Macaca mulatta: one gene and its partners. The protein of the gene in region 2 interacts with the protein of the main gene of each other region in a pairwise test. Links are inferred from orthologs where the notes say so. Each region holds a gene or a part of one and is shown on either strand. Other genes may lie near its edges. The genes, in order: CRY1, PER2 and CSNK1D.

Region 1 (3,646 bases), on a different chromosome or scaffold from region 2:
AATAAATCTTTTGGCCATGTTCACAGGGCCACGGACTTTAACTAATTACCTTATAGTTGCTGTACACCTAAAGAGTAAAAAATAATAAGCATTCTGAAAATGACATTTGAGTTTCATTTTATCCTTAAAATTGCTCTCCTCAGTTTGTAAAAGCTTTAACTTGACCCAACATCTATTATACGGAATGATGTTTTCCATCTCTAAAATGTCATCAGTGGAGTGAAGAGATGTGTCTGAGTGCACATGTATGCATGCATACAAAGAATCTATTAAGTTAATTTCAAAGATAGATTTTTATAAAATGTTAGTAAGGATCAATAACAAATATATTTGTTTAATAACCTCGTCATGTTACTAAGTGCAGAAATTTCCTTTTCACTTACTTCCACTGCTGCTACAACCTGGGATATTTTCTGTAGAATATCCCATGAAGCCTCCATTCCCATTAGGATTAGAAGGTACTGATGCTAGAAGACCTAAAGGACAAAAGAATTTTCTTTTAAATTATGATCAAGATAAAATTCAAAGACAGGTATATAAACAGCTGCCAAAGAAACAAAGACAGTTATTAACATACCTAGTCCTCTATATCGTGAAAGCTGCTGATAGATCTGTTTCATCCTTTCAATATTCAAACGGCTTGCCTCAGCATGGTTCACCATTGGTTTAGGATAATTAATTCCTATCAAACATTTGGCTACCTTTTGGATACCTTCTGGTGCATTCCAGGGATCATAGATATATTTTGCAGGGAAGCCTCTTAGGACAGGCAAATAACGCCTTTAGGAGAAAAAAGAAAGATTACTAATAAAATGCACTGTAAGCAAACTATAACAACTACTAGCTATGAGAGACCAAAATCAAATCAATACCATTTAAATGATCTGTTTGCCCTACTCATCTCTGCTGCCTATCATGAGTGGGGAATACTTTAAGCATTGATTAACCATGAAAAGCTCTTCTTCAATTAACTATTCCAAATTGAGCAGTAATCACCCTTGATTTACCTGATATAGTCTCCATTGGGATCCGTTCTCCTACCAAAACCAACAGGGCAATAGCAGTGAAAAAACTGCTGAAAAAAGGAACTACAAGACAGCCACATCCAGCTTCCAGCATTTATGCTCCAATCTGCATCAAGCAGTAATTCTTCAAATACCTTCAGAAGTAACAGTAACCAATTAGTTTGCACACATATAATTCGCAAAGCAAGCATTTTCAAGGTCACAGTAGATCCAAAGTCAAGGCAAAGAAAATCTAGCACAGACTTGTAAAATTAAACATTCCAAAGTTAGCTTCCCTGTCTATATTCTGTTCTATAATGAGCTCTTCCAGGGAAAGAAACATAGTGGTAATATAGTATGCTTCTGTAGAGAATTTACTTTTCCAACCTCTGCAGTGTTACAGGGAGAATGGAAGTAAAAAAAAAATTCAAATCACTGATTTAAAAGGATATTATTAGTAGACACAGGAAAAGCAGTAAACCACTTTCAAGAAAGCAAAAATATTATTACATAAAACACCAACAAAAACTTAGTATACTAGCCTAAATAAAGGAAGCATACTCAAATATAAATTCATGTAAAAGTATATACTAGCACTGCATAGCTTAATTTTGAATTCCTTGATCAGAAAGAAAATATAATTAAAATAAATGATTTTTATATATATTAAATATGTTATATATTGTCTTTGTATATACAACTGTGTACTAGGAAATGTAAGAGATTAAAAAAAAACACACACACACATAGGCTCAGAAATGGTCCTTGGATGGGGCAAATGTATGATATTGCCAGAAACATAAAAAATGTATACAGTGGCCGGGCACGGTGGCTCATGCCTGTAATCCCAGCACTTTGGAAGGCTGAGGCAGGGGGTTGAGGTCAGGAGTTCAAGACAAGCCCGGGCAATGTGGCAAAACCCTGTCTCTACTAAAAATACAAAATTAGCTGGGCACAGTGGTGGGCACCTGTAATCCCAGCTACTTGGGAGGTTGAGGCAGCAGAATTGCTTGAACCTGGGAGGCATAGGTTGCAGTGAGCCGAGATCATACCATTGCACCCCGGCCCGGGCTACAGAGCGAGACTCCATCTCAAAAAAAAAAAAAAACAAGGTATGTAAGTCTTATTACATGTAACCCACAAGATGATGTCACAAAATGTGGTATGCTTCTTTTCACATAATAGAAGTATTACTAAAAATTTGTGAAGTTGAAGTGAGGTGAAATGATTTATATTTTAAAATTTATTTTATTTTATTTTTTGGAGACTGAGTCTTGCTCTGTCGCCCATGCTGGAGTACAGTGGCGCGATCTCGGCCCACTGCAAGCTCCACCTCTCGGGTTCATGCCATTCTCCTGCCTCAGCCTCCCGAGTAGCTGAGACTACAGGCACCTGCCACCACGCCCAGCTAATTTTTTTTGTATTTTTAGTAGAGATGGGGTTTCACCGTGTTAGCCAGGATGGCCTCGATCTCCTGACCTCACGATCCACCTGCCTTGGCCTCCCAAAGTGCTGGGATTACAGGCGTGAGCCACTGTGCCCGGCCCTGTTTTAAAATTTATAATATGAATTCACTATCTCTAGGAACTCTTGAGTGAATTCTTTTGGTGACAGAAATATCACCTATATCTATCAACAAATTCAGTGTTAAATTTTACAGTTCTCTTAGTGGCTAGACTGGTTTAACCATTAAAATGACTTTAGGTTAATCAATTTAACTAGTTTTCACCTTTTTGCTTGTCGGATTATACCACCTTTTGCTCTGAAAGTGTGCCCATATTTGGGGAATTAAATGTTTTATCCACTGAAAAACTACATTATAAATTAATCTATATAACAGACAACTTCTAGGATTTGTTTTATTAAGGTAAGGATTCCTTCAAAATAAGGCATGCTACATCAGTTAGAACACTTACCTTCATTCCTTCTTCCCAACTAATCCACAGGTCCCCTCGTGTCAGGAAGCAAGCAACTGCATGCCTGGCTAGATGATGAATCCAACCCTCCTGACGAAGCTGCGTCATGATGGCATCAATCCATGGAAAGCCTGTCCGGCCTTCTGCCCATTTGGCTAAAGCCTCAGGATTTTTATCCCAAGGAATCTGAACACAGATAGGGTTTCCTTCCATTTTATCAAAGCGTGGATTATTTGTTGCTGCTGTATAGAAAAATTCACGCCATAATAGTTGCCCATAAAGGGAAAGGGGAGGGGAACTGTTCTTCTTTACCTATGGTTAAAAAGCAAAGAAGTATTATCAGAATGCTTTTTAAAGTATTAAACAATAAGCTCCAATTTTAGAGAATACCTTTTTGTAGAGATCTGTTAGTTTGAAGTAAAACAGTCGACATGACAAACAACCAAATCGGAGATAAGGACTAAGTCCAGTAGGGCTTGCAAGCAGAGAATTTGCATTCATTCGAGGTCTTTCAAAATTTGCCACCCAAGCCTGAAAACACAGAGAGAAAATTACATTAACTAATTGTCTTTTTCATTTTAAAAGGACGCTCAGAATGGAGATTTTTTTTTAAAAAAGTTACATCGTTCTTGGAAAATAAAATCTTATCCTAGCCACAAATTACATGTTTTAATAGAAAATAAGACAGGATAAAAAAGTGAGCATTCTTTTGTTTCAGTCATCCTT
Region 2 (4,353 bases):
GGAACAGGAGGAGGGGCCACCTGACAGTGTGTGAACAGCCTGCAGGCCTCCCTGGGCTTCTGCGGGAAGGGCTGCCCTGATGAACTTGGTATTTGCCCTGGTTTGCATCAGAAGTTGCACACACACCTTGTCAAGTAGAAGGGAAAGAGTTAGCACACTCAGGAATTCCTGATGTGGGTTAATAACTTTTCCTTCTGTCCCATCCCTGGTCCCCAGGCGAGTCCAGGTAAAGAAGAACAAGAAGAGTAAAGAGAGATGCTGCGGGTTCCAGCTTCCTGGACAATCTCGCCTTCCCCATGGGAGCCTGCACTTTCAGAGTCTGCTGCATGGGAGCCTGCAAGCTCCTGCCTGTCCTGTAAGTCTCAGGCTTCTACCCAGACCAGGGGAAATTGTACTCTCTCTCCTGACACTTTAAATGGAAGTTTAGAGGCTCATCATGCCCCAAACAATGCTTACTGAAACAGCAAACCCTCAGACAAGGTGATGCACGCTGCCGCACTGGCTCCCAGGACAACCTCCCACCACGGGCTTCTCCGTCTCTACCGCTTGCACCTTCCTAAGGTGTCCCTTTCTCAGGGCCCATCCTACCCGCCCTGGAAGTGCTGCCTTTCTCACGGAGCCTGTGGGGATAGCTCTGGTTAATTTATAGCCCACATCGCCCAATTTAGCATTTGATTAAGTTTCCTTTTTATGAGACAGTCCTTTCTCCCTAGTGATGCGCTTGGGGGCAGAGACAACATCATTTCTTTCTTTTGTACCTCCCCAGAGTAACAGTGACTCTATTTCCTGAACCAAAAATTGTAACACGTGGTAACTGCCGGGACAAGTGTGGACCACAGGCACCTCTGAGGCCCGGGTGGGCGTGCCCCAGCAGCTGCTGCAGGGCGGTGCAGCCACCTTCTCCTAGGCTGCTCTGGGGCCCGGCGACGAATGAGTGAATGAGTAAATGAATGAATGTGTGAATGAAGCATGCTGCGCAGACTTTCCCGCGGCCCTGGCCGCTGGGGGCGCGCCTCTGGCCGGTGGCCGGAGGTGGAGGTTTCCCTGGTCGGGCTTCGGGGCGCCAGGTCGGCCAGGCCGGCCGGAGGTGCACAGGAGCCCCGCGCCCAGCTCCCCCGCCCGCAATGGTACGCGCCACTCCGCGCTCCCGGAGCTGGCGGACTCGAGGGCGTCGTGAATGGAAGGCGCCGACGCCGGAAGTGGATGAGACCACTAGGGAGGACGACGGGGGGCAAGAACGCGCCGCATCTCCATTGAAGAACCGACGAGGTGAACATGGAGTTCCATGTGCGTCTTATGTAAAAAGAGCGACGGGCACCGCTACCAATGGGCGCGCGGCGCTAGTGGGCCCCGCCCCACGTGTATGCAGATGAGACGGTGTCGCGGCCAATGGCGGACGCCGGGGGCGGGCGCGGCGCGCGCGGTCACGTTTTCCACTATGTGACAGCGGCGACTCGGCCGCGGCGGAGGCGGCGGCGCTGAGGGGCTACGTGCAGCTGTGGGCGGTGGTGGCGGCGGCGGCAGCGGGCGCGGGTCCGGGCGGACAGAGCCACGAGTCGGCGGAGGGACCGGCGGACGGGCCGACGCGAACGCGGCCGGGCGGTAAGTGGCGCGGCGCGGCCCCGCTGCGGCTTACGTAACCGCCGCCCGCGCGTTGGCCTCGGGCAGGTCGGGGTCCCGGCGCCGCCGGGAGTTCCCTGGGCCGCTGGACTCCTCTGCTTGAAACGGCGCCGGCGTGGGGGCGTGTGCCGTTGGCCCTGTCTCAGGTGGAGGGCGGCCGAGCTGCGCGCAGGGTGCGCTCGTTTGAATTGCGCTGACACCGCGGGTTGGGGACTCGAACCCCCGTTTCGCAGCTCAGGAGCCTGAGGTCCGAAAGGTGAGGCGGCAGCGTGTGTAGGGCACCGAGTTGCTGAGTGACTGCGCGTGGGCTGCGGTTCCGTGGGCGATTCTCTTTTGGGAACCCTCCCTCCCCTCCCCTGGGGAAGGCCAAGGAAATCAGGGGTCAGCGCAGCCGGCCCTGGGATCTGGAGGTCCCTCGGGGAGCTGACTGCCTCCTCTGAGGCCACAGGGCCAAGTCCTGGGCTGGGGAAGGGCTGTGGAAGGGCGCTGATCTAGGAGCTTTTCCTGGACACCCACGGGTCTCCTGGAATAGGTGATCAGAGGGACAAGGAAGTCCCTGTGCCAAGCCAGGCCTGGGAACCTGAGGGCAGGGAGACCGCCTGATGTTCGCCCCTTTGCCTCCCCTGGACCACCCTGTATTAATACCCTCTCCCCGGACTGGATAGAAAGGAATGGGGGTGTCCACTCTTTGGTGCAGCAGTCGCACCTACCTTCTGGGATGTACTTTGGCTGCCAAGTCCCAGACATAGACCAGGAGGTGGGAGGTGGCCTGCTTCCCCCTTCAGGAAGGCCAGGGTAAGGGATGACGAGTTGGTTGCCAGGGTTTCTGTAACCTACACAGAAGGAACCCGTTTGGAAAGCTGATTCATACAGAACAGAGCCAGAAGGCACCCTGAAATCACCCAGAGTAACCCCTCAGCCTGACAGATGAGCAAACTGAGGCCCAGGCCCAGGCTGTCTGCAGGATCTTCCCATCGCCCTGGGGCAGGATGAGCTTCAGAGGTTCAGTGAAGGCCTCAACTTGGGTGCTGAATCCTGGGTGGGCTGTAATTTGGGAGGAGGGGCCTTAAGTCCGGGAAATGTGTTAAGAACCCCACACCATGGCCAGAGCCCCCCTGGACCCCTCTCACTTTTATATGGCACAGCAGGATCACTAGACTTCTTGGCTTCCAAGGGGAGATGCCAACTTCTACCCCGACCTGGGGCTTCTGGTCCCAGACTGGGTGTGCCTGAGAAGAAAATAGGACTCTACCTGAAGGCTTTATTTGGAAATTGAGTTTTAAAATACAAGGTGAATTGAGTTTTGTGTGCTATATGACTATAATGAAGAAAGGGACTCCGTTGTTTTTTTTAAGTGGAAGCTGTGTGGTGTGCCAGCGCGGGGATGGTACCGTGGGTGTTTGCAGTTATCTGTCACTGTCGCCTTGGTGTGATTCATTGGTATAGAACTAACGCAGCCCTGGCTTTCTGTGGAGACTGGAGTGCCAGGTGGGAAGGGGGAGCCCTGCGTCAGCCAGCTGGCTGCTGCTGGGAGCCTTGGCTCCCAGTCTGGGCCTCAGTTTCATTTGTTCGGAGGGACTCAGATTGGGCAGTCTCAGAGGTCTAATTTAATTCCCAGGTTTTTGATTTTCTGTTACCCTACAGTTGATTTTTCCCAGGTTTCTCGCAGGAGACAGAGGCTTCTGATATGCTCTTGCCTTTGGGCCAGGTAATGTTCCCCTGTGAGCCACATCTGCAGTGCTTACAAGGAACAAGGAAAGATTCCTCTCCTGTGCACTATTTCTCATACACACTGAACTTTCTCAAAAATACTGGTCGTCACACTGCTGTTTTTAAGCCATGATGTAACTTCACCAGGACTCAGCAAACCACGGCTCTGTCAGGTCATTGAACAGCTGGCAGGGCCACTTGGCGTTTAGTCAGAAGAAAGACAGGCTCTGGGTGTGCTTTTACCTTTTGAAAACTACTCTGGCAGAGTGAGCCAGAAACACACAATTCCATAAGCTTGGCAGAGACTGTCCCCACACTTCTGGAAAGCTGACCAACCTTCAGAACCAAGGGAGAATCAGACAGTCTAGAGGGGGCCTCTGATGGGCCCCTCCCCAAGCCCAGGCACTCTCCCCTAGGGACCAGGCCCTCCTTTCAACTCATTATGCTCATCGTGTACACATTTGTAACAAGTTTGTTACCATATTTCCAAGTCTAGAGCACATTAGAAGCAGTAAATGAACAGCAGTGACGGGTGACAGGAGTCAAGGCCACTTGGTTTTCAGAGGCTGGTAGTTCCCAAGACAGAGTGGGCTGCTGTGCTGATCCCTCACCGGCCTCGAAGGGTTCCTCGTGCTCTTCCTGGGGTGACATAGAGGAATCAGAATCTGCTCTTTAAGAAACCAGGTGCAGGAGGAGCAGATGCCTCAGCTTCCCGCAATTCAGAGTAGCTCAGCCGCTGACACTTTTGCCTTTCTTATTGCTGTAAAGTCTTGTAGTTCTAAAAATGTAAGGATTTAAAAGTCTGAATTGAGAGCATTAAAGGTGTCCTGGTGAGGCCAAGACAATGCCTCCCTGGTGCACCTCCTTCCCTCCATATTTGGACGGCTGCGGTCACATTTTCCGCAGTTACCCAACCGTTGCCATGGAGAGCGCGGCTGTTTATTTAGCAGGACAAACATTTTCTCAGGATTACAGCAGGCTGGCCTCAGGGATTTGGCTCCTACCAGGAAGTAGAAAACATGT
Region 3 (3,646 bases), on a different chromosome or scaffold from region 2:
ACTCGGCTGCAAAACAAGAAACTCAAAGCTAACTCGTGAAACCCAACTGCGACTCGACGTGTCTGCCAGCGTCGCCGTCTACCTCCTGCTGCTGCACACTCAAGGGGAGAAGGACAGATACAAAACACCTGGCAGGTTTCTAAGACTCTAGGCCTTAAGAAAGCTTTTAAAACAATTCAAATCATAAAGCACAATTTCGTTTCATCTAAGGTATGTATCCTGGAGCAGTCCTACAAATGCAAAGAGAGAGAGGCCCCACCACTGCCCATCCATCCCTTTCCAGCCACTTAGGACCCCAAGGCTCAGGCCTGCCTCACCTGCCATCTCTGCAGGGCCTCCAAGTGCTCTCCACACTGATGGGCACTTGGCAAGTCAAGATGAACAGGAGGGCAGGCTATTACCACCATACACAAAAGCACCCCTCGTTCCTGCCACCACCCCTTTGGAAGGGGAGCAACTCTTCTGACAAAACCCAGGCTGAGCCGTCTCAGCACACCTGAGGCGGGCCCGACGCACGTGCAACCCCCATGAGCAGCTCCACTGAGAAGAAGCCTCCAAAGACTTACAAGGGTAGCCTTTACACAACACTTCAATGGGGGTGGACATTTTCTTCTCGCTAATCCTTTCATATTTCTGTCTCTTGGTGGCGGCCTTCAGCCCCTGCCAGGGGAGAGAGCCCAGGTTGAAGTACATTAGCACGTAGCCCAGAGACTCCAAGTCATCTCTTCGGGATTGCTCTGAAAACAAAAGGGAAAGGCGTGAAGAACGGCACTGGCGTGCTCACGTCAAAGCAAAAGACCTGGCTGGCACTTCCAGTGGAGACGAGCTTCAGACACGCACGCCGGGATCACTCTCACCCAGAGCTGCCCCTTATGCATACTAAGGAAATTCCCGAACACATCACAGGTGACTCAGAAACATCCCAGCATCCGCCTGCCCCCATACACCTGGCAGTCATGAGCCAGACTGTCTGCTGCAGAGGTCTGAGGACACACTCGCACCCCCAGCTCCCCTGACGACACACTCGCACCCCCAGCTCCCCAAGAGGCTGGCCTCTCCCTGGGCTGAGGCATGGACATGCCCAAAGGCACCCTAGGTCAGTGACCCATGCCCAGGGGCTCACCAATTCCAAGGTGCGTGTTGATGGAGGCGTACCGCGCCGTCCCTGTGAGGTTCTTGTTCTCGCGATAGGGGATGTGCTGGTGGGTGCGTGCGTCCCGGTACTTCTTGGCCAGCCCGAAGTCGATGATGTACACCAAGTTGCCCTTCTTCCCCAGGCCCATAAGGAAGTTGTCTGGCTTCACATCCCGGTGGATGAAGTTCTTTGAATGAATGTATTCGATGCGACTGATCTGCGAGCAGAGCAAGGCACGAGATGGCAGCCCAGGGCAGTCTCAGGGAGGGACAGCTCAACTGCAGGACGCTGTGCCAGTGGCTGTGCTGTTCCTGCCCCTCAGCCACGGCAGGGTAGTTTAACCATTAGTGAGGGGGACGCCGAACTGACCAAATTGTTCCCCCAGGTGCCTTCAGCAACCCTCCACCCTCCACGGGCCTAGGTGCTTTGCCTTCAGCTCCCACAAAATAGAGAGGTGAGGCGACAGAGAGGGGACAACCCGCCACTAGACATCGGTCTCTCCCAGCACTGTTCTCCGCATAGGCTACACACCAGGATTGGCAGAGAAGCTGCACGGAGGTGCTTAGGAATCACACGCATGTTCCTGAGACGGAGGGGCCCGCTGAATGGAAACGTGCTATGCTGGTACCGAGAGGGTGGCCTCCAAGCCACTCAGCTGAGCCACCAGAGCCTCAAGGCTAAGGCTTAGCACATTTCCATTTCCTCTGTGAATTAACAGCCGTAATAATGGCGAGAACAGCACAAGTGAGCGGCTGATTCCATCAGACGGCAAGTGTGTGCCAAGTGTCAGGAAACAGTCCTTACCATTTGGTCGGCAAGCAGCAGGACGGTTTTGAGGCTGAATTTCCTGGAGCAGAAGTTGAAGAGGTCCTCCAGGCTCGGCCCCAGCAGCTCCATCACCATGACGTTGTAGTCCCCCTCGGCCCCGCACCATCTGATGGTGGGGATGCCCACTAGGCGAGGAAATCAGACAGCGTTTCAGTCCAGGCCCTGCCTCAGCTCCACACTACGTCTGCGCTGTGCACACCATGGGGTCCTGGTGACAACCCTGAACGGGGAAGGGGTGATGGAGGCAGAAGACCCCGGCAACGCCGGTCCTCAGGGACCCATCTTCGAGATTAGGCCCCATCTGTTAGCAAGTGGCCTGAGGCAGAGGTTGGACGAGGGCCAAGCGGGCAGGAGCTGCAAAGGGGACAAGGAGGGGATCGAAGCCCCACCTCCCTGACTCTCATCTTCTAGGGCAGGGGGGCGGCAGACACAGGAAACAGTCATGATGTGGGAGAGAAAGAGCTCAGGCAGAAAAGGACCAGCAGAGCCCGCCAGAGACGTCACACCGGAGAGGGGAGGAGCTGCAGGAGAGAAAGCAGCTACCATGGGTTAGGTGAGAGAAGAAAATATGTTCAATTACTACAATGTTGGTAGAAGTATTTGACTGGATAAGAGAAAAATAAAAGCAATGAAAACTTTTTGGGGATTTACACAGTAACCCAAGCTTGAAATATACAAATCAGGAAGTGAGAATACAGACACAATAAATCTAACAGGAAGAATTTACAGATGGCTGCACAGTATCAGTGCTGAAGGCATAATCAACACTAAAAAGACACACGGGCCAGGTGCAGTGGCTCATGCCTGTAATCCTAGCACTTTGGGAGGCTGGAGCGAGAGGACTGCTTGAGCTCAAGTTTGAGACCAGCCTGAATAACACAGGGAGACCCTTATGTCTCTACAAAAAAACTTTGGAAATTAGCTGGGTGTGGTGGCACGCTTCTGTGGTCCCATCTACTTGGGAGGCTGAGGCAGGAGGATCACTTGAGCCCAGGAAATGAAGGCTGCAGTGAGCCGCGATGGCACCACTGCACTCCAGCCTGTGCCACAGAGCAAAACCCTGTCTGAAAACAAAACAAAAAAAATCTACTTTAGAAAAAAATGGGTGAAAGACCTGGACACTTCACCCAAGACTTTACGTATGAAAAGTCAACGACCACAAGAAGATGCTGAGAGATGGAAACACGTGCTGGTAAAGACGCGTGCAGGAACACGCAGGAGCGCACACCGCAGCCTCACGCCAGAGTCAAATTCGAATGCTGCAGCAACAGATGGGTTTCTCAAAATACCACCCCCAAAATATGCCCTTCAGTCCTATTTTTTTTCTTATATCCACAAGAACATGTTTTTTTGGTATGTTTTCACAGCACTGGGTCCTTAACTATACACATGGCTCTACACACATACAGCTTATGAACGGCCTGGATAAACCTTTTATGTCCTTCCATGGCAAGACAGATTTTTAGTTTAGTCTTACAGCAAGTTTTGGTACCATTAGGGAAATTTACTTCATTAAAAAAGTTGTTTCATTATTTTATTGTTTTGAGGCGAGGTCTCACTGTCACCCAGGCTGGAGTGCAGGGGCGCCATCTCGGCTCACGGCAACCTCCGCCTCCCGGGTTCAAGCAATTCTCCTGCCTCAGCCTCCTGAGTAGGTGGGATTACAGGCAGGCGCCACCGCGC

What was found.
Region 1: the proteins of PER2 (region 2) and CRY1 interact in a two-hybrid assay, tested with the Homo sapiens proteins (5 studies listed by BioGRID, with this or other methods). The link is inferred for Macaca mulatta from reciprocal best matches to the Homo sapiens genes PER2 and CRY1.
Region 3: the proteins of PER2 (region 2) and CSNK1D interact in binary tests that used the Homo sapiens proteins (3 or more experiments, as listed by UniProt). The link is inferred for Macaca mulatta from reciprocal best matches to the Homo sapiens genes PER2 and CSNK1D.

What each region holds. Positions count from the first base shown.
Region 1 is NC_133416.1:114,199,092-114,202,737, forward strand, and holds part of CRY1 (cryptochrome-1), read right to left. Parts: intron 3,452-3,646; coding exon 3,311-3,451; intron 3,233-3,310; coding exon 2,921-3,232; intron 1,160-2,920; coding exon 1,008-1,159; intron 781-1,007; coding exon 578-780; intron 477-577; coding exon 384-476; intron 1-383.
Region 2 is NC_133417.1:143,533,586-143,537,938, reverse strand, and holds the start of PER2 (period circadian protein homolog 2), read left to right. Parts: upstream 1-1,438; 5' UTR 1,439-1,876; intron 1,877-4,353. UniProt on the Homo sapiens protein: Transcriptional repressor which forms a core component of the circadian clock.
Region 3 is NC_133421.1:91,964,880-91,968,525, forward strand, and holds part of CSNK1D (casein kinase I), read right to left. Parts: intron 2,089-3,646; coding exon 1,940-2,088; intron 1,353-1,939; coding exon 1,124-1,352; intron 738-1,123; coding exon 567-737; intron 7-566; coding exon 1-6. UniProt on the Homo sapiens protein: Essential serine/threonine-protein kinase that regulates diverse cellular growth and survival processes including Wnt signaling, DNA repair and circadian rhythms. It can phosphorylate a large number of proteins.